Drosophila melanogaster: one gene and its partner. The protein of the gene in region 2 purifies or fractionates together with the protein of the main gene of each other region. This does not show direct contact. Each region holds a gene or a part of one and is shown on either strand. Other genes may lie near its edges.

What was found. The genes of interacting proteins can lie anywhere in the genome.
Region 1: the proteins of CNPYb (region 2) and yip7 purify together in Drosophila melanogaster (affinity purification with mass spectrometry, with the first as the bait; one large-scale study listed by BioGRID). This does not show direct contact.

Annotation. Positions count from the first base shown.
Region 1 is NT_037436.4:6,031,324-6,040,695, reverse strand, and holds yip7 (yippee interacting protein 7), read right to left. Parts: upstream 5,481-9,372; 5' UTR 5,454-5,480; coding exon 5,194-5,453; intron 5,138-5,193; coding exon 4,585-5,137; 3' UTR 4,521-4,584; downstream 1-4,520. Other genes in the region: Jon65Aiv (jonah 65Aiv), read right to left, coding at 608-1,166, 1,244-1,500; CG6462 (uncharacterized protein), read right to left, coding at 2,626-3,585; CG10477 (uncharacterized protein), read left to right, coding at 6,091-6,350, 6,403-6,961.
Region 2 is NT_037436.4:19,086,748-19,098,107, forward strand, and holds CNPYb (canopy b), read right to left. Parts: upstream 9,471-11,360; 5' UTR 9,396-9,470; coding exon 8,730-9,395; 3' UTR 8,143-8,729; downstream 1-8,142. Other genes in the region: MESR6 (misexpression suppressor of ras 6), read left to right, coding at 6,063-6,573, 6,652-6,693, 6,916-7,817; Naxd (NAD(P)HX dehydratase), read right to left, coding at 9,905-10,480, 10,559-10,885.

The DNA of each region.
Region 1 (9,372 bases), about 13 Mb from region 2:
ATCGAAGTAATAGCTGAGAAAAAAACGAAGTATAACGAAAAGCTGACCACCCATACAAATCCCCTCGCAAGAAAACTAATCCGAGTATGCAGTCAAAGCCGGCTGCACCGCAACGACCTCCCAGCCCAGCAATAAACTTATTAGGGCATTAATGAAAAAAAAAAACTATCACTAAGTGAAAGTTAATTAAGTTAGATTAAGATTTGAACACTTATTGTTAGTCTCTTAACACAAAGGGAAGATTCAATAAATAATAAAAATTAATAAAAAAAAAAAAAAATTGTGTCGCTTGGCAATTTAATGAATTTTAATGAGAACTTACTCGCCGAATGCCAGTAACAGCTTGGTTCTGCATTCATTTTCATTTGTCTGTTTTGTGATGATTTTTGATTTTAGACAAAAGCATATGTACAAGACGATATGGATTGTTACTATAACCGACGACCCTCAAACTGGGAACATAAGTTCTCTTTTGATCTATATTGAGTAAAGAAATTTATAAATGAAGATCTACGTTTCCGAAATTCCCCCTATAGAGCTATAAAACTTTTGAATTTTTTAGAAATGATTTTTATTTTTAAGCGAAATTGTAGTTCCTGACTCCTTCCTAGATGCCAGTGTTAGTCTTGATCCAGTCCAGGTAGCTGGTCACACGAGTGAAGGCAGCGGGGTAGCCCTTCTCGCAACCGGCAGAGGCACCGAATGAGGTCAGACCGATCTGCTCGCTGGACGACTTGAGGACCAGAGGACCGCCGGAGTCACCGTTGCAGGTGGACTTGGCGTCGGTGGTGGCCACGCAGAGGGTTGAGTCGGTCACGACCGAGGTGCCGTAGGTTTGGGCGCACTTGGTGTTGGTGATCACAGTCAGGTCGACATACTGAAGATTGGTAGCCACACCACTGGAGGTGTCACTGGTGCGTCCCCATCCGGAGGCGACAGCGACGTCACCGACGAAGGTCGAGTAGGAGTTGGAGATGCTTGGCAGCTTGACGGCGGAGATCCTGCTGCTGGAGGAGGTGGCGGGGATCTTGATCAGGGAGATGTCGTTGCGCAGGTTAGCGCTGTTCCAGCCGGAGTGGATGATGATGTCGGAGCTGGACACGGTGTGGGTGATCTCGGCGGAGGTGCGCACGGTGGCGCCCAAGTAGACGGTCACGGACTGAACTCTGCGATAAATCAAACATACAATTGGTTAGGACATTGGTTCCAAGATATTTTCGGCATTCCTTCAAGGGACACTCACCCATCGGTACAGTGAGCAGCGGTCAGGACCCAGGTGCTGCCGATCAGAGAACCACCGCACCAGGCGCTGGACAGAGCACTCAGCTTCAGGGAAAGTCCCACCTGGTAGGGGAACTGGCCGACGGCGGCGTTGCTTCCTCCGGTGATGCGACCTCCAATGTCGCCAACGACGGGCATCTCGCGGCTGCGATGGCGCAGCTCCGGCTCGGGGAAAGCGGAGGCGGCCACAGCCAGGGCAAGGATGATCAGGAACTTCATCTTGGGAATTGTTGCTTGTTCAGTTAAGGGAACTCAACTGTTTGGCCAAGGACCAGCTGGGGTCTTTTATACTGGCCAAGTCGCGTCTGCGATTGGGTTGCAATTCAGAAATAGAGCTGTCCCGATTAGATAGGACCACTAAAGTCGGTTCGAACTACCTTATCTGTTGAGATTTTGTGCCGAAGATATGAATGAATGAACTTCAGCCACACGGTCGCCAAAATTACTTTCCCAATCCAAGAGTATTAATCCCGATACGGATCTAATCAGGGCTATGGGCTTCGAGTGGATTTCCAGATCGAGCCGCTGCGATACCAAAGGCCTAGCATGGGGTTGCTAATTAATTTGATTAGTTTTACACATACGCGATATATACATAACTATATATTGCGATACAAAATTGGCAAAGGTTTGCTTTGCTCTTCAGCGTATCTTATAATTCCCATGGTAGTCGAGTGCTATCTTATCTCCTGTCTATAGGGTGAGAAGCCGTAAGCCCACAGTTTAGTTGGGTTTGTTTACCTTCGATAAAGGTCAAGGAGTAGGACGTGAGTTGGTCAAGACTGCTTAAACTTCATAGGAAATCATACCGCCGTCTAACAATTGCGTATCTGGACTCTCTCTTTGATTACAAACACGCAAATTTCAGTTGTTTTCGCAACCGCAGCCTTCTTTATCAGCGAAAGCCGCGTGATTTTATGACGCGTTCAACCGACCACATCACTGCGGTTAATAGCCAATTCAGATGGCCAATTGAAGGCGATTAGCGGGAGGAGGCGCTGCGGTCTGTACCCAATATGCCCTCACCAAAAACGGACACTCAACCCAATGATTTCAATTTCAGTGGCGATTCATCAGCAATTTCCATGGCAATGTAATTTTTCTTTTGTGCCCTTATTGAGCTCCCCAAATTGACTTGCTCTTCTGCAATGCCGAAATGTTTATTGTTATTTATCGGTAACAATTTTCATTCAAGAGAAAACAACCACACATAAAATGGACCATTTGCACCTTCCTTTCTCGACAGAAGAACCTGTTTTGGTTTCATTGCTCAAATTGGTTTTATTGTCTGGGCCGACTATATTGTTTAGCAATTAATGGGCTGCAATTAGGCGTTAATTGCATTTAGTTGGTCATTGCCGTTTGCTGTCGGATCCATGGCAAATATGCGGTTATCCTGGTGTAGACAGTGGGACCCCCCACCTCGCATCCTTCGGCACTGCCGAACGAGGTGACCCCAATCAGGTAGCTAACATTGCGCCAGTGGTACACAACGGGGCCACCGGAGTCGCCATTGCAGGCACCACGTCCATTGCTTCCATCGGTGCACAGGTGACGTCGCTGGCTAACCAATCCTGGCAGGAAATAGCAGATGCAGCGTTCCTGATCGATCACCTCCGCATCTAAGTACTGGAGGAGTCGCGTCCGTTTGTCGGTTGAATCTCCCAAGTAACCCCAGCCAGATAGGGTCACCACTTTGCCTACCAGAAAGTTTTGATGCATGAACTCCCCAGCCAACTCAATGGGTTGCACTTGTTCTGAAGTTCTGACTTTTCTTGGCAGTCGTATTAAAGCCAAGTCACTATATCCTCCAAATCCCAAGTAATCAGGATAAATAATGAAATCTCTATGCGTGACTTGTAACTCCTCCACGGAGTCTTCTACATCGGCAAATACGGTGGCGCCCGTGTATATCTTTGCAGCTATGGCATCGGTCAGACAATGGGCTGCAGTCAAAACAAATTGAAGAGTGATAAGGGAACCACCGCACTTGACCAGATCTGCGCCACTCAGCTGAATCACCAGACCCACTTGATAGGGAAACATGCCGCGCGTGGCCAATTCTCCTCCAGCTATTCGAGTTCTCACAGCAGCGGTTTGATTACCTTCCATCTCGAATTTTTCGCAGCGAAGTCGAAAGTTTTCGTAGCCAAGCTGCCAACGTCTTTCCATGATTGCATCGTCATCGTCCGGTGTCTCCTCTTTGGGGTGCTCAAAAGTATCTAGCCAAGGCTCACTTGATTTAACTAGTGTGGATGATAGAAGTAGCAGGAAGAAAGCACTTGTAGCCTGGTATTGCGCCATTTTATCACTACGGAATTGAAAAAATAATATGGGGAATACCTGTTATTGCATTCTATACTATATCTTTTAAATGTAATATTTCCTTTTTCTGACCAAATTCATAGAATACCCCCCGCCCCCCCCCCCCCCTTAAATATGTGAATAGGAAACTCTATTCATTATGTTGAATGAAATTTATGAATGAATTGCCTTTTTATTTACATATATTATATATATAGCTGATGTTCCTCGTAATGAGTTAGTCCAAGTTCAGGTCTGAGTGGGCTCTTCACGTGAAGTACTGGGCTTGTTGTTGTATTTGCTGGTGTTTTTATAGTCAGCGATTGTGGCATCGACATTGCGTCATCGACTTGGATGCGGCACGTGTCCGCATCGTTTGTTAATTGAATTTGCTTGGGCCGAGTGCAAATTATACGGAGACGGGAGGAGCAGCAGATGTTTGGCATTCAATTCCTCCAGCTACCGTGTAATTGCCGCACGTTTTGGCGATTATGTTGCTTAGGCTAGGCCTTCGTCTCCCTTTGGCATACTGCAGTTTCCTTAATTGCTTTCGAACCCCCCATTTTCCCGGGTCCTCAATTGCACGATTTCAGTCTTAGCCCCCAACATTGGCCAGAATGTCTGGGTCGGGGTCTCTGTATTTATTGACTGTCGTTTTATCAACGCTTAGTTTATTATTTGTTTAATTTACTGCACACCTTCGCCTGCATTTCGACACATGAAAGGCCATTGATAATTTTCCTGGAGTTGAATGGCTGTGGGGTTTTACAATCCAAGGCCCCGATTTCGTCACCGATCATAAAGTACCCACTTTGGCGATATCAAAAGCCAGAAGTGTATTAAGTTAGTCTATAAGAGTTATTATGAAATCTGATTCATTAAACGGTAAGAGAGTAGATCTCAATCTCTAGACATTATTTAAAAGTCTAACATGTGTAAAATCATGATTACAGTTTTATTTATAATATTTTGCAGTTTTCATATTTCATACTTCAACACTTAGATACCGGAAGTTTCCTTGATCCAATCGCGATAGTAAGTGATACGGGTGAAAGCAGCTGGTGCGCCAGACTCGCAACCATCAGCGGATCCAAAGGAGGTGGCACCGATGAGGACACCATCGAGAGCCAATGGGCCGCCGGAATCACCCTGGCAGGTGGAGGCCTTGTTGGTGGTGTCAACGCAGAGGACCCTGCTGGTCACGATCAGGCTTCCGAAGGTTTCCTGGCATTTGGAGTTGGAGATGATGGTAAGGTCCACGTACTGCAGATCGCGAGACACGGCGGTGGCTTGGTCGGAGGTGAGACCCCATCCGGAGGCAACAGCGGTCTTTCCCTCGTAGGTGGAGTAGCTGTTGGAGACGGCGGGCAGGCTGATCTTGTTCACGGTAGCCGAGAAGGACACGGACGAAGTCTGGATCAGGGAGATGTCGTTGCGGATGGTCAAAGCCAGGTAGCTTTCGTGCTGCCTAAACTTTGAGCTGCTGACGACTTGGGTGAACTCGGGGCTAGTACGGACAGTGGCACCGTAGTAGATGGTCACGGAGGCGGCACTATATTGGAAATACTCTCATTAGACCTGGTCTTGAAGGACGGAAAATGCACTTACCCGTCGGTACAGTGAGCAGCAGTCAGCACCCACTCGTTTCCGATGATGGAGCCACCGCACCACCAACTGCCAGCAGAGCTGGAGAAACTAAGTCCCACCTGGTAGGGGAACTGGCCGGCAACGGCGTCCTTGCCGTTGGTGATGCGACCGGTGATGGATGGGGTCGAGACCCTGTCACGGGGATGTACAGGGGCAATATTGGGCAGGAGCCCAGCGGAGGCGGAGGCCAGAGCCAGAACCAAAACTACGAAAACCTTCATGCTGATGGTTGCTCAAACTATGAGTGATTTTCCCTTTCCAACACGGCCTCTTTTATACCCAGACTGAGAAATCTTATCTGCATAGATGGCTGGGCAAGTCCACTTAAATGTTCTGATTAAGTGTCGCAAAAATTTTTTTAAGTTTATTATATGGCGCTTTTGTAAAATTTTTCTATTTGATAAGATATTAATGTAGCTACTGGCATTTATTTCTTCATCACAAATTAGGGACTTTCAAATTGTGCGAATAAAAGATAATTACTTTGGTAGCATTACCACTTTTGTGCTTTTGTTTTGCTAGTTGGGATTTGCTTGGTTAAAAACAATTATTTATTACTTATCAATATTTCTTTATCTTAACTGCCTATTTACGTTGTAACTTAAAGAGTAAGCCATAAAGAATAGGACTTTATAAAAAGATTCCAAAGCAAACATTTGCTTTTATTTTATTTAATTCTTGGTAAATTGGAAGCAATATTGCCATAATGATGTAAGGTACAGTGGTTTTAAGACCTTTTTAAGCCTATTTAATGGTTAAAGATTTACAATTCTGTTGTTTCGCTGCTGATTTCAAAGACAATATAAAATGATCCTTAATACCAGAAATTGCTCACTCTTTAAAGTGTATTCGATCCAGATGAAGGTTTTTGCTGTCTTGGTCTTGGCAATTGCCACAGTTTCTGCTGATATCCTGCGCCAGGACACTCCAGTACATCCCCGTGATAGCTCAGCTGTTCCGTCCATAGATGGTCGCATTACCAATGGAAACAAGGCAGCTGCTAACCAGTTTCCCTACCAGGTGGGACTCAGTTTTAAAAGCTCGGCTGGCAGTTGGTGGTGCGGTGGTTCAATAATAGCGAATACATGGGTACTAACTGCTGCTCATTGCACCAAAGGGTGAGTAATTTTTTTAAAAAATCGATAATCGATTTAAGATTTATTCTGTTAGAGCCTCTTCCGTGACCATCTACTATGGGTCCACCGTTCGCACTAGTGCCAAACTGAAGAAAAAGGTCTCCAGCTCCAAGTTTGTGCAGCATGCCGGCTACAATGCGGCTACTTTGCGCAACGACATCTCCCTGATCAAGACTCCATCCGTCACTTTTACGGTTTCCATAAATAAGATTGCCCTGCCCGCCATCGCCAGCAGCTACTCCACCTACGCCGGACAGACTGCAGTGGCTTCCGGATGGGGCAGGACCTCCGATTCCAGCATTGCCGTCGCCACGAACCTTCAATACGCACAATTTCAGGTCATTACCAATGCTGTGTGTCAGAAGACCTTTGGGTCATCTGTGGTCACCAGTGGAGTTATCTGCGTGGAGTCCATCAACAAGAAGTCGACCTGTCAGGGCGATTCTGGCGGTCCGTTGGCTTTGAACAATAGACTAATTGGTGTGACCTCGTTTGTGTCCTCCAAGGGATGTGAGAAAAATGCGCCTGCTGGTTTCACCCGCGTCACCAGCTATCTGGATTGGATCAAGAACCAGTCCGGTGTGTTTTATTAGCCGTAAAGCCACGCAGTCCAGTTTTCATATTCCTAAAAAGCATTGCCTATTTTTGAGCGGCTATAGGAATGAACCCAACAGCGCAATCTGAATTGTAACTGATTATGTTTTTTATGTTGGACATACCCTTATCTTTTTCTTATCTAAAACAAATATTTTGAGTATTAATTACGTAATAAGGAACCTTTTTATTCATTCCATACAAGAAAATACCAAGAATTTTAGAACGTTTTTTTATTATTGTTAAAAATATTAGAAAATGGCCTTGATCCAGCCCACATCCTGCCCAACCTGGCAGCCATCGGGTGAGCCAAATGAAGCACCACCAGCCGCTCTCCGTACCGACGAAGCTTAGTCCCACCTGGTAGGGGAAATTAGAGTTTAAATGGTTTTTTTTCTACAAGAAATCTACTAACTACGTTTACCTTCCCGTGTCAAACGATTAAGTTTCCGAAACTGGTTGGCTTATCAAGCAGAAAGCTAAAATCCGTATCAATAAAAATCTGTATTAGTTATCAATTGGATTGTAAATTTTCAAGTGGGTAATACCCGAAATTAATGTTACCTTATCTTGGGCAAATACAAAGCGATTAATTTTGGGAATTTTCACTTGGACTTAGATTTGCTTGATATAATATAAAATGAACGTTAAGCTTAATAATATCTACACACCTTAAAATGTGATTTTAAATTTTTCACAATGAAATAAAATGAGTACGATTATTATTATGTTAAGAAAATCTATTTGCTATATACAAGTTACACTATTCTATGAATTGTTTTTCAAACTTCTATAATACAGTATTGCCTAGACTGATATTTCTTGTGTTCTCCATTTGCAAACGGAAATGGCCGCCGAGCACTTCAGTATTGTTTGACTTCCATCCAATGGCGGCCGCATCATCGAACTTTTGTTTGCTTTTTGTTCAATTTTTATTAGATACCATTTGTTTGCGTGCCTTGACTGTTTTGCTACTTGAGCCGAAGCTCCAAGGTTCGAGCTCTGTTTTTATGTTTATGCGGAAATCTGCAGAAATTGTGTCAATATCAATAAAATTAGATTAGTATCGACGAGGACGACGCCGACAAACAAGCAACCGAAGTGTGGCAGGCAACAAATAAAGTCCCTTCCCCTTAGCCTGCCTCCCACTTCCTTCCCTAAGCCAATTTCATGTGTTGTGGGCTGCTTCCGTTTTCGAGCTCACTTCCGGCCCACTTCCTTTGGTTGTGTGTGAGTGGGTGTGTATGTGACAACTGTTTAAATGCCTTGAAATTGTTGCAATTTTGATCCGTCCCAATTGGATAAAGTTTTCGGTGGGCACTAAAGCATAGGGCCCCACTTAATCTCAGTTAATTTTCTTAATGGAAAAGTTTTTCTCAGTTCCTTACATTCATTTTCTCCCTTTTGACTAGGCTCAAAAATTGCTTTTCACTTAATTCTCGTTTTCGGGATTGCTGGTGAATTTTTATGCAGGAACCCAATTTTCATAATGCGCAAATTAGAAAAGTTTTTCGCTTCAAGTTTACCATGCGAATTTTTCCTATTGAATTTGCGCTTGACTTAAAGCTGTTTTTCCCTATTGATTTCGCATTCAAAACATTTACGTGGCATTATCGCTGGCTTTTCATTTTCTCACTACCCCTCAACAATAAACAACATGAACAATTGTGTCTCCATTTCTCATCTGGTGGCGTAATCTTTTATATAAACACAGCCCTGGCGCTCCAACACTTTCCACTCGGTGTCCAACTAAGAAAAACATTTGCACGAGGAGCTCGGAGAATGGCGGGAAAAGCCGGAAAAGTCTGGTAGTGGAAGAGGGAGGTCTTCACTCCGCGCCGACTGAATCACGTGACGAATGATTGAGTGCACTTCTGTGTGCGCTTTTTCACTTAAAATGTGCGATTTCAATCACTAAAAGCAAAGGTACACATCGCAAAATCGAATCAGCCATGGCTGATGGAGTTTCTGGAGTGCTTGCCGCACTGGTTTTTTGCCAGTCGAAGGACCATTAACCGCAAGGTGGGCAAAAACAAAAGACATTCGCAGTGCATTCAAACCGGAAGAGGAAGTTGGCAATAAAAACGCTGAAACAAGTTATGTGCAAAATGTCCGGGACACGTGATGGACTTTTCACCTACAAAAAAAAAAAAAAACAAAAGAAAGGAAATACGAGGAGTTAGAATGCCTGAGGACCTCCGCTAAACATTCCGTACATCAAAAACGACGCGCCACTTAACAAATCCCAAGTTGTCGTTGCGTGCCACGTGACTGGCATACAAAGCGCCCACAGGACTCCTGGCAGGACCCGAAAACAATAGCTCTGCTTTGGTCCGCCGGAATGTTCTTGGCCCGCTCGTTACTTTATGGCCAGCCGGCAAAACGCTTTCACGCACGCCCACCCACGCCG
Region 2 (11,360 bases):
CCAGTGCACAGGCACAGACCCACTTGGAAATTTGCTCGGTTAAAAAAGGAGAAAAAATGGGGAAAAAAGTAAATACAAAGAGAGTTCCTGAATAAAATTTAGATAAAGTAAAGACTTTGTTTTAATTCTATAAATTACATAAAATTTTTTAAATATATTAAATAATCATATTTTCCCGTATGTTAAATAATTATTTCATAACTGGGTTCGTATTTCAAATTTCCCACCTGCCTTTCTCTCCCGCACTCTTTTGGCACTTTGACTATTTCTCCACGCTGCATACGCTCCCAAAGTTTTGTGTAAAGTTCATTGATATTTTTGTGCTGTGGTATGCGTGTGGCAAGTAAAATGCGTGTGTTCGTGTTGATTCATTGAATTCGCCATCCAAACTAGCTCTCTCTCACTCTCCCACTACTCCCACCACCACCCACCTTACCCTTCGCGATGGAACCTACTTTATTGTTACTCTCTTTTTGCGAGAGCGCGGTTAACATTTCACTTCACTAGAGTGCAAAAGTTAATGGACCACTAATTTAGACAGATAAGAAATTACGGAGCCCAGAAGAATCGGAATCATCAATGGAGTCGCTGTCTACTCTCTAACGAAAGCTCCTGCGCAAATGCTCCTCCAAGAGCCAGTTATATTGGAGACTCGATGAAATGTTTAATTTTATAACCATGACCCTGATATTTACACCCAAAAAGAAGAGACTCACACAAGGATATACGTGTGTACCCATACAGAAATCGCATGGAAGGACAATTTCAAGGATATGCGGCGCGTGCAAAAATTTCTCCACAAACAACAAACTTCCTGCTGCGCCTGCGTTGCACTAGCTTTACATAAAACGCACACCCATACACACCATATACCGTTAGGTAAGGCCCATCACAACGTGCTACTATATACAGATGTACGAACGAACGACTTTCGAGCACAATTTTCATGAATGAAAGTCCCACGCAGCAGCGAAAACCGTTGGAGCAATAAAGAAAGCCAAGCAGACAGAGAGGGAGACAGTCGGCGAGGGAAAGAAACGGCCATACGAAATCCATGCTCAGCCCACGCATTTCTCGCTGCTCACTTTCGTCTTGGCACGCGGCTCCTGAGATTCCAAGGGCGTTATTCCCCAGGACTTTACTCTGCTTTCGGCCCTGGCGCGTGGGAGGCCAGCCGGAATGTTGCAAGGGAGTGCACAGGGAAAAATTGAGCGGCTCTTTAATAAATTACATTTTCTTTCAGCAGTCTCAATACAAAGAAAACATGCGTACTTCAAAAGGATTTCTTTAATAATAAAAACACACACAAAAAATATATATATATATTTATATATAATACTAAGAAATATTTGTTATAATATGAAATCATTTAAGCATTTATTTATTTACGCTTCAGTAAACACAAAAGTGTAAACACACATATTACCATTAATTTTTGTATTCATCGAAAGTTGTACATAATTACTGTCAGTGTATCACTCAAGTATGAAGAAATTAGAAGTAAGCACCTGGATAGCTGTTTCAAAAGGCTGCTCAATTGCGCCTTCCAAGTGTCTTTGGTGGGCTGACCTTGGCGATACATATATGTATTTCTGACAGTGTAGAAGCCAAGGTCGGTCGTCCTCCGGGCTCCATTCTTCGATGACACAAGTTCAAAGTCTGCTCGCAGCCAAAATGGAATACCCAACCCACTTGTATAGCTCAATGAATCACTTTGGGGCATTATCTGTGTTTTAGCAGGAAACTGATGTCGAAAGTGAAGAATTCAATTAAATTTCTGCACCTCACGATTGTCAATCTAAATTGCGCAAGCTACGGCCTTTACCTTGATTATCAGACCCCACGTATAATCAATATGAAGATGATGACGCTTTCCCGAGTGTTTTTATATGGTGCGTGTATAGATCAGTCATAGCCATATCGGCTTGAATGAGTGAAAAGTTCTGAGAAATGGGGGAAATATGGATCATCGTGATTCGCAATGTGCGATACTACTTATATGAGCTTTGCAGGGTTTTATTCATTATCTGGTGTTATTTTTCCACTCATTGTTATCAAGAAAGACCATTAACTGCGTATACTTTCTAACAGATATTTCCCAGCAAGTTATTAGTTATCGCTGTGCTGAAACCTTTTCATAGTTACAAAACTCATATGAGTATAGGATAATTATTGCTACGAGATGAATATTGCCTTCTAATAATTTGGACGTTTATTAACTAGCTGAAGCAATATAATTATTTCTTAAATGCAGTTAGTTAGCTCAACGGCATTCTCCCACACTAGTTTTGCATTCTGCTTTACTGACCTAAAACAACTGGAATGGGATTAAGAATTGGCGCGTCCGCTTATCTGCCATTCATGTTTCCGTTTCGCCCGTTCTGAAATGTGTGTACTCACACTCGCATTCACACTCGCAATTGGGTTCTCGAATCCAGCCCACATCCATATATCCATGTCCAGCCCCCAGAGTTCCGTTCCGCGAGATCTCTGTGAATCACTCGCCCATATGAACAGCGGATGTCGGTGGGCGCCACGGGTCTCTAGAATCAACAATGGTCGATCAACAATCGTCGATCAATGTGCGTTTGACGTTTGACCAGAGCGAAGAGGCTGAAGTATCTCACAGATTCTCAATATCTCAATATATACATATGTTCCCAATCTCCATGATTCTGGGCACTCCGATGACGTCGTTCCAGACAAGTGTTGGTTCAAATTGGTAGCCAAAAACGGTGATAAAAAATTAAATTATCATTTAATAATAGCTTTGATTAAAACAGACATTAATAAATGAACACGAATTTAACAAGTTATGACAAAATATAAATATAAGTTAACATTTCTGCAACAATGCAATTAAAGTTTTTCGTTTTACAATACTATTTGATAATTATAATTATATATCAAATAGCATGCATAGATTGACAAGAAATCCAAGATTCATCCCATATACGAACTGATATCCCTCCTCATCTGAAGATAAGTAATTCGTCATTGTAGAATGTGAATCCTCTTGGGAAGTATCTGTTTCCAGTGCTAAAAAATGTCTAAAAAATCAGATCTGCACCGGACGCTAAAAAAGAAGAAAGGATGACGAGTCGGGACGGCAGATGTGAAAGAATCTGTTGGCTTTGAGCGCCCACGCGAGCAAAAGTTACGATTGATACGAAACAAACGGCGACCTGACCAAACGACTTACCTATTCACCGAATTAGAATGCGAATGACGTTGGTTGTACTCACTTTTGGGATTGGTTTTGTCGGGCCCACTGACTCATTTCACTTTGGCCACTTCACTCAAGGTGGCTTAAACAGCAGCCGGTGCCACGTGTTCCTTCCAAAGGGGAAAGTTATAAAATAAAATAAAATTCACAGGGCTACAGGGAAATGGGGCACCTACGCCAGACTCAAAATCCTGTTGACGTCATTCGGGGGCTGCTCAATGAATTTTCTGCACTTTCTTTACCGGCTTACTGATTGCAAAAGTTGTAAATAACATTGTTCATCACTTAGTCAAGATCATGTGTTTGAAGACATCACGTGGGAAAGAACTACGATTTAGTATGAATAAGTACTAAGTAAGTAAAAATATTTTAAATATTAATTACTTTACGGTTAAGATTGTTAACACTAAAAGAATGAAAATATTGCATAAAAGCTTTCTAAGATTGTATTAAAGTTTAAAGCTTATGTGCTTCAATTGTGATTATAAGCGAAAGATTAAAGATTATAAATTCTTTAACGTTGTTTAAAAGTTGTTGTGGAGAAGAAAGATTTTTTTTTAATATTGAAATATCTCAATGTTCATCTGATTACTGTATTTTTGAGTGGCAATCTAAAAGTAATATCTAGAATCTCAATCAATCTGTATCTTTTTTTGATGTTTACTTTATAGGATTTCATTTTAAAGTAGAGCAATCAAGAGTAGAAATTCCTGCCACCCCCCTCCTCCTTTTTTTGCCATCGTCATCGTGGTTGTCATCGCCCATCCGTGCCATCCTTCCCCAATTGATTCGTCGGAGGGGCCAACGAAGGTTAATGCGAGCCAGTGTTTGACCTCCAGGGTCAAGCTGAAGGCAAATTAATTGCGAGAATTGGGTGCGACAGCTAGAGAAAGCGCAGAGCTGCTGTAATTGATACAAGAACAAAAACGAGAAGCCAAATTGCAGCCAATTGATCGAGTTAAGGGGCCGATGCTCTCGAAGTTGGCACTTCCGTTGCGTTATAAGGGCTGGGGAAAGCCCCCCAATCAAAAACAATTTCTCTCAGTGTGCCAGCGAGCTCGATAATTAGGCGGTCAACATAAGTAACATGGAGATATAGATCTTTCATGGAATCTTCGTCCTTGATTACTGCTCTAAAACCTATAATTGAGCATAATATTTTGGTCAGCAAATCAACTTATACTGGTAACAATTTGATAAGAAAATGTGTGAATTTTTAAGTACTATTTATTACTAGTTTCTAGTGATGCAGTTGTAGTTGTACGGCAATGAAATGAAAAACTTCAACGAGAGCAGACTTCAATCCTAAACGGATTAATTAAGATATCGTGGTAGTAAAGATTTTACATGGCAACGTGGTACTCGGCGTAATGGACGCCACCGAGGGTGTTTCGGCCCACGCGAAAACTTGGCCAAAAATAAAATGTAAACGGTAATAAAAGAAGAGTGTCGCCTATGTATGTACAGGGACACCCACAAAAGTCTATATACAGTTATATTTTTTGATAACGCTCGACGGCGGAAACATTGCACGCCAACGCCCGAGCAGCGCTGTCGGCGCTTTTCCAGACAACCGAGCCGCGCCATTCATTTCCACCAGCTGCAAAGGGCGAAAAAGACGAACGCAGATACTAGCGCTCAGATACAGATACAAAGTCGAACTCGCAGATACACAGACACACACACACACAGCGGCAGTGTTTTACGCATTCCAATCAGCCATGTGGGCGTCCGATTCCCTCCGCTGCAAATGCAAATGTATATATATACACATAGATATACAAATATATACCTACTACATATGTACAGATATAATAAAAACTTATGAATGAAAAGCTTCTGCGCAGCGTGGGCGGAACGCTGGGCCAGCTTTTTGGGGGCTAAAAGCTCCAGAGGCCGCTCAGCACCCCCCGACCCCCGCCCCCCATCACTCGCTCGATGGCAATCGCATTATGCCAGCGTCCAAGCTGCGGATACACACGGAATATTGATTGGAGGCAAAGTCTCCAAATCTGAAGTAACCTTGAAATGTGGGTGGCCGGTGGGCCGAAGGTTGAGGATAAAAGGGTCTTGTGGGGGGGGGGGGCGAGTTGCTGGAGGGGAGTGTGAGACATTTGGATTGCGGATGGCAAAGAGCTCGTGTGCTGGCTGAGCTTATAAAGTGCTGTTTAATTAATGAACACTGCTGTTCGAAAAATTGTTTCAAGAACTTGCAAATTGAAATTCAAATCTTTCCTTGGTTGCACGAGAGTCGCAAGAAGAAGGTTACTCCCTAGTGTCTCGACTATGAGATACTCTCTCCTTACTTCTTATTTTCGTTTACCACTATCAAAGTGATATGAATATAGAAATAGGTGTACTATTTTGATAATATTAAAATATTTTTTTTTTTAGTTTTTAATAAATTTTGTTATTTTTAACATTTTTAACATTTTCTAGATTCTACATTCTAGATTCTAGATTTCAAAGCGAATGCTTTAAAAAATCAAATTTATTTTAAGTTATATCAAAAAATACTCAACGTCTCAAGTAATTGACAAAATAAGGTACAATATATGGAAAATGTGTAGAAAAAACTTTTAAATTAAACGGACACAACTTTAATCGATACATCGATAGTTGGGTCCTATGTAATGTGACCTTATTATAGGGCTACCATTTTTAGCAATACGGGAAACTTGTGCTAGACAGCAATCTGGTCACACTGCCAAACAGCTGTTAATGGTCAAAGACCCCCAAAATATTAAATACAAAAGAAATTAAGTCTGCTTACCGTGCAAGTAATTGAACAGTGTGCTAAGGACCCAGTTGTACAGTCAAAGTAATCCCGAGGGAAATGGAATCGGATACGCTGGACCAGGAGAGTGCCGCGGCTGCTCTAAAAAAACTATCGCCAAGTGAAAGTCCCGAAAGTTCGAAGAAATGGGAGCCGACTTCGGGAGAGTGGGTTGCGGCGGGTGGGGGAGAAGAGGCGCCGCCAACAAAGAGACAAAAGACTGCAGACGAAAAGGAGGAGAATCGGGAGGAAGACGAGGATAGCGAGGAGAGCGTTGATGAGGAGGAGGATGATGGCGAGGGCATCGTCCAGATTGGCGGCACCATCAGCCCAAGGCATTTCCAGCGCATCCCCGTCTTTATCGTCGACTACCACAACGATGTGCTGGAGTTCATCTACCGCTGCTTTGCCACCCGCCACCTTCCGCTGCAGAACAACACCCTTGTCCACTTCGACTCGCATCCGGATCTGGTCATTCCACGGCACATTGCCGCCAGTTCCACCTACCAAAAGGAAACCATGTTAAATGAGCTTAGCATCGAGAACTGGATCATGCCCACACTTTATGCAGGTGAGGATTTCTATGGGGAATCGAAGAGAACTATATTATATAGAAATATAATATTAAATGCTATTATTTTATTTCTAGAAATAGAAAACAATGTAAAAGGACAAATAAAAAAGTTCTATGGTCTAATTTTACTAAGAACTTAATATTTAAAGATTATCTCTTAGTAACTGCTAAATATCCATTGAGTACTGTTGTCAAAAAGATTCCTTTCTACATTTAAAGGATTTCAAACCAAAAACTTATTAACTGTGATGAGTCTAATGACATTAATTAGCTATAATTGCATTTTCTTATAGAAATTAGTGTAAAATAATAACTTATTGCTATATTACTTGCTCTTAGGACATTTCAACCGCGTCGTGTGGCTGAAGAACTCATGGTGCCAGCAGCTGCCCACTGGCAGGCACGACTTTAAGGTTGGACAAAAGGACGATCGCATTGGAGTGGACTGTCCGTTGGACTACTTTATTGCCGACGGCAACTACTGCACTACGGAGGATCTGCAGGATGCCAAGAGCGTGGAGCTGCAGGTTCACGATGCAGACAACGAAAGCCTCAATCCGAACGAATTCCTAACGGAGAAGGACGCCAAGGGATTCGTGCTGGACATAGACCTCGACTTTTTCAGCACCTCCAACCCCTTCTTGGAAATATACAAGGATGCCGATTGCTACAATCAGCTAAAGGAGATCTTCCACTTCGAAAGCGTGGAGAAGGTGAAGAAGTCGGGCACGGCTACTATAGCAGATTATTTGGCCACGGCAGAGAGGCGACAGACTCAGTTGGATGCACTGAAGACGATTTTCTGGCATCTGGAGGAGGAGCGCAATTTCGAGGGACTGGAAAAGCCGGACGAGACCGTGGTCACGCCCGAAGTGTACGCCAAGATTGTGAAACTGGCCGATCAGCTGCAGGAGAAATATCCAGACGATGAAATCGACTGGCATTTGATCTTCGATTCGGGCAGCACCACCGATAATAATGGCTTGCCCCACCACATCAGCATCGCCGAAGAGTTGGAAACGTACTTTGCAAACTTCAAGCGTTTCTTACAGCGCCTGCCAGTTCCTCCAGTGGCCATTACAATGGCCCATTCCGCTCAAGATGACTACTGCCCCCAGGATCAGGTGGCATTCATTGAGGAATGCGTTCTACGCCTGCTTAAGGAGGTTTTTGGCGAAAGACTGCACGACAAAGCCATCCTGCACTATATGGACGATCCTTGGGATGTGATGAAGCTCTAAGCTTATGGATAACTAGGGGTTCTTTCGCCCGCCACTGCGAATTAGATTCTGAATTTACAAAACTCGTTTGGGCGGGAAAACTCCACGACTAAAAGATACCCGTAGTGATTTCGAATTAGAACCTAATGATGGAAAATCCAATACTAATTATAATAATATTTTTTACTTTGAAATATACGCGAAGTATTTATTACAGACAATTAAACAAACTCATTTAATGCAAATTGGGTATATTCAAAATAATTTGTTTTTAAACTTTGAAAGGTTTCGCGACGAGATACCTTTTAAACGACATATTAGGTGCCCCAGTAAAATCAAAATGTGTATGCACAGATAATCTATATTTAATCGTAAATACTAAATGTTAGTTATAAAATGTACATGTATTTAAGGATAACTCTCTTCCATTCAGTGCCGTAGGTTCCTAGAAAATGCGCAAAATCTCATTTATTGACATGGACATGGCATGAACACCTGAATTTCTGGCTGGGGGTTATGACTGGCCACCTCATTGAGGGCAGTCAACTTTTAATTGTCGACCCCAATTCGTGGCCGAAATCAATAAGCCAATGGCCCCAGGCGAAACTTTCAGTAGCATTCTGTGGCTCAGTCGTTGTGGAAGTTATACAGATTAGCTTGAGAGACATAGTGAGTTCACTTAAGCTAATTAAACACTTTTCGCTTTGTTCTATAGGTGGTAAAACTTAAAATGATTTCCATTTCGAAAAAAAGTAAGATCATTGGAATTTAAGTAACTACTACATTTAGTTTGTCAATGCTTGAGTTCATTCAAAAACTAAAATTTGTGTTACTTTTAAAAATTGCATCGACAACAGCTGCACTACATCTACATTTTTCGACATGGAATTACAATATGGTAGGGATTCCTAGGATATACTTGGATTATTTGGCTCACAGCTCCTCCTTGTCGCCCTTGGCTTTTTCCCTTTTGGCCTTTTTAGCCTCCGGAGGAGCAAGCTGCTCCTTGAGGCATTCCCTTTCGGCCTTTTTCTTGAGCACATGGTCCTCGCAGAGATGCTTCTTCAGTGACTTCTCATCCTGGTGCTTAAAGTACCATTCGCTGATGGTTTCCTCGTACTCCTCCAGTAGGTTTTCGCACTGGGTCTTCATTTGGGTGACCTCCACCGGGGGCTTGTCCCACAGCTCGTAGGGTATTCCCAGATCCACCTTGACGCCCTTGTCCACAAGGCCATGGAGCGTCTGGAAGGTCTGGGACATACCTTTGGCGAATCTCGTGCTGTCAGAGCGTTCCTTGTGCAGATTGTACTCCAACACTCGCTCGCACACGTTCTCCAGGGACTCGAGCAGTCGCAGTTCGCTGCGCCGGTATTCAGTGCGCTTCTTGGGCTTCACATCGTCAACGGAGTATCCGATTTCGATGACGTCGTGCGACTTGCCGGTCTCTCCAAGTCGAGCTTCCAATTCGGTGGCCAGGATTTTGCAGGCTTCGCAGCGGTTTGCGTAGCGAACGCCTTGCTCCTCCTCGGGCGAATCAGCTCCGGCTAACTGCAGGACGACCCAGAGTGTTACAAAGCCAGGCAGTCTTTTGAGGAGCATTTTCACTGCTTGATAAATTCCAAAAAAACAATAATAAACCTGACGTGGAAATGCCGCTCGCGAGAAGACCAGTGCTGCAAAACACCAACAACCGAACGGAACCGACGACTTAGCTTTTTCCCGCCAATACCTTTAAAATAATCTATATCAAATCTATTTTCTTTTTTATGATTTATTATCCTACATACATTTAAAAAAAACTTTTATTTTATTTTATTTGTTTATTAAAACAGAAGTCATGCTTAAACGGTTTATTAAAATTGAATCAATATGGTTTTATTATGAATGCCGAAACATTTTATCTGTAACAAGATGCAGCTTTCAAATTAACGAACCAGATGTTCTTACGTTGTTTAAATGCAATTAAAAAATTCCCATAACATTTCTATCCATTCCAATATGTTCTCTGTTAAAGACATTAAAAATCCCACGATAATTGAAAATTCGGTTAATGGTCGCCTTGTTTTAAAAAACAAACAGCTGGAATTAGTTCAAAGTCCAGTAAATGACTATTGAGGATCGCTGTTTTCGAACTCGGTCTGAAATACGCTGGGTATTTGATTGACCATGTCACTGGCCAGTAGGCTGCGGCCAAACTTTTGAAATGCAGCCGCGTTTAACTTTTTCACAAAGTAACTAGAGGCACATGCAGCTACCAGGGCGGGATTGGGTTCACCCGACTGCAGTGACCACGAGAAGAAGGTGGCCAAAGATCCGGAGAGCAGGTCACCTTGTCCACCGCACCTGCGACCGGAACCGCCGCTAGGCATTGAGTGAACTTCGTTGCAGTGAGGGAGATAGATCTTGTCGTTGGCGCCCTTCTCCAGGACAGTTACTCCGGCTCCCAGGAGGGACATTTTCTGGCGCGCCGCCTGGTCATCCTCGCCAAACAGTCTCTGGAACTCCATGACATTTGGCGTGAGTATGACATTCGGCTGTCCACAGATCAGATTCAGATTGTCGTTGAGCAGAAACAGTCCATCGGCGTCTATGACAACTGGTTTCTTGGTGTCCATGCACAGCTTGAGTACGTTGGATGCCGTCTTCAGGATGCCCGGCTCCCGACCCAGTCCAGGTCCAATAACCTTAACGATTCTAAATTTAGCATTTAATTGTATAAATGTAGCATATACGTATGTAGGTGGGGGGGGGGGGCTACTCACAACGACGTGAAGTCGCTCTAACCAGGGCGCTATTCTCTCCACTGCATCCACACAGTCTAGCACTGGATGCACGATAAGATCGGGACTGTAGGACTTGATAATGGCCGACGCATTTGAATGGCAGAACACATGCGCCAGGTCAGCGCCCACTCTTATCGAGGAAATGGCCGCGAAGTACGGCGCTCCGGTGTACTCCAGGGACCCACCGATCACTCCAATGCGTCCGTACTGTCCCTTGTGCTTGTTGTTCACCAGCTTGGGCACCACCGTCTTGAACAGAGCCAGCAGCTTGGGCAGGTGCACTGGAATATCCGAAACTGCAGCCATCTCTACCGGCGGCAATGGTTTTCTTTGTGGACTGTGCCCGCTGTTTACTATTGCTGTGACTAGTGATGCACATTGTGGTCGGGATTTCCTATCGGTTGCTGCTATCACTGTGAGAAATACTTTGTTCCCACGGAAGCCGTATTATCAGTAGTTAAAGCTATAGAAAATGAAAACATGGAAAAATGTGAGTTAGCTAATTATTCTAAAATAGATTTTTTTTAGTATTTTACTATCATATTTTTGTATTATTTCTTAATTAATTCAAAAACTATTCAATTCTTTAAGTACTCTTCACATTGTATAGTTACACTATACATTCTATACACATCACTTTCAACTCTTTTGCTTATCAATCAAAATTCCCTGCGTTATCGACCAGTAATCGACTTTGAAATTCACTTTCAACCGCTGCCCCGGCAACCAGTGGGCTCCAAAACAAAGAACCATGCGCTTTCGCCCCCCAATTCTCGATTCC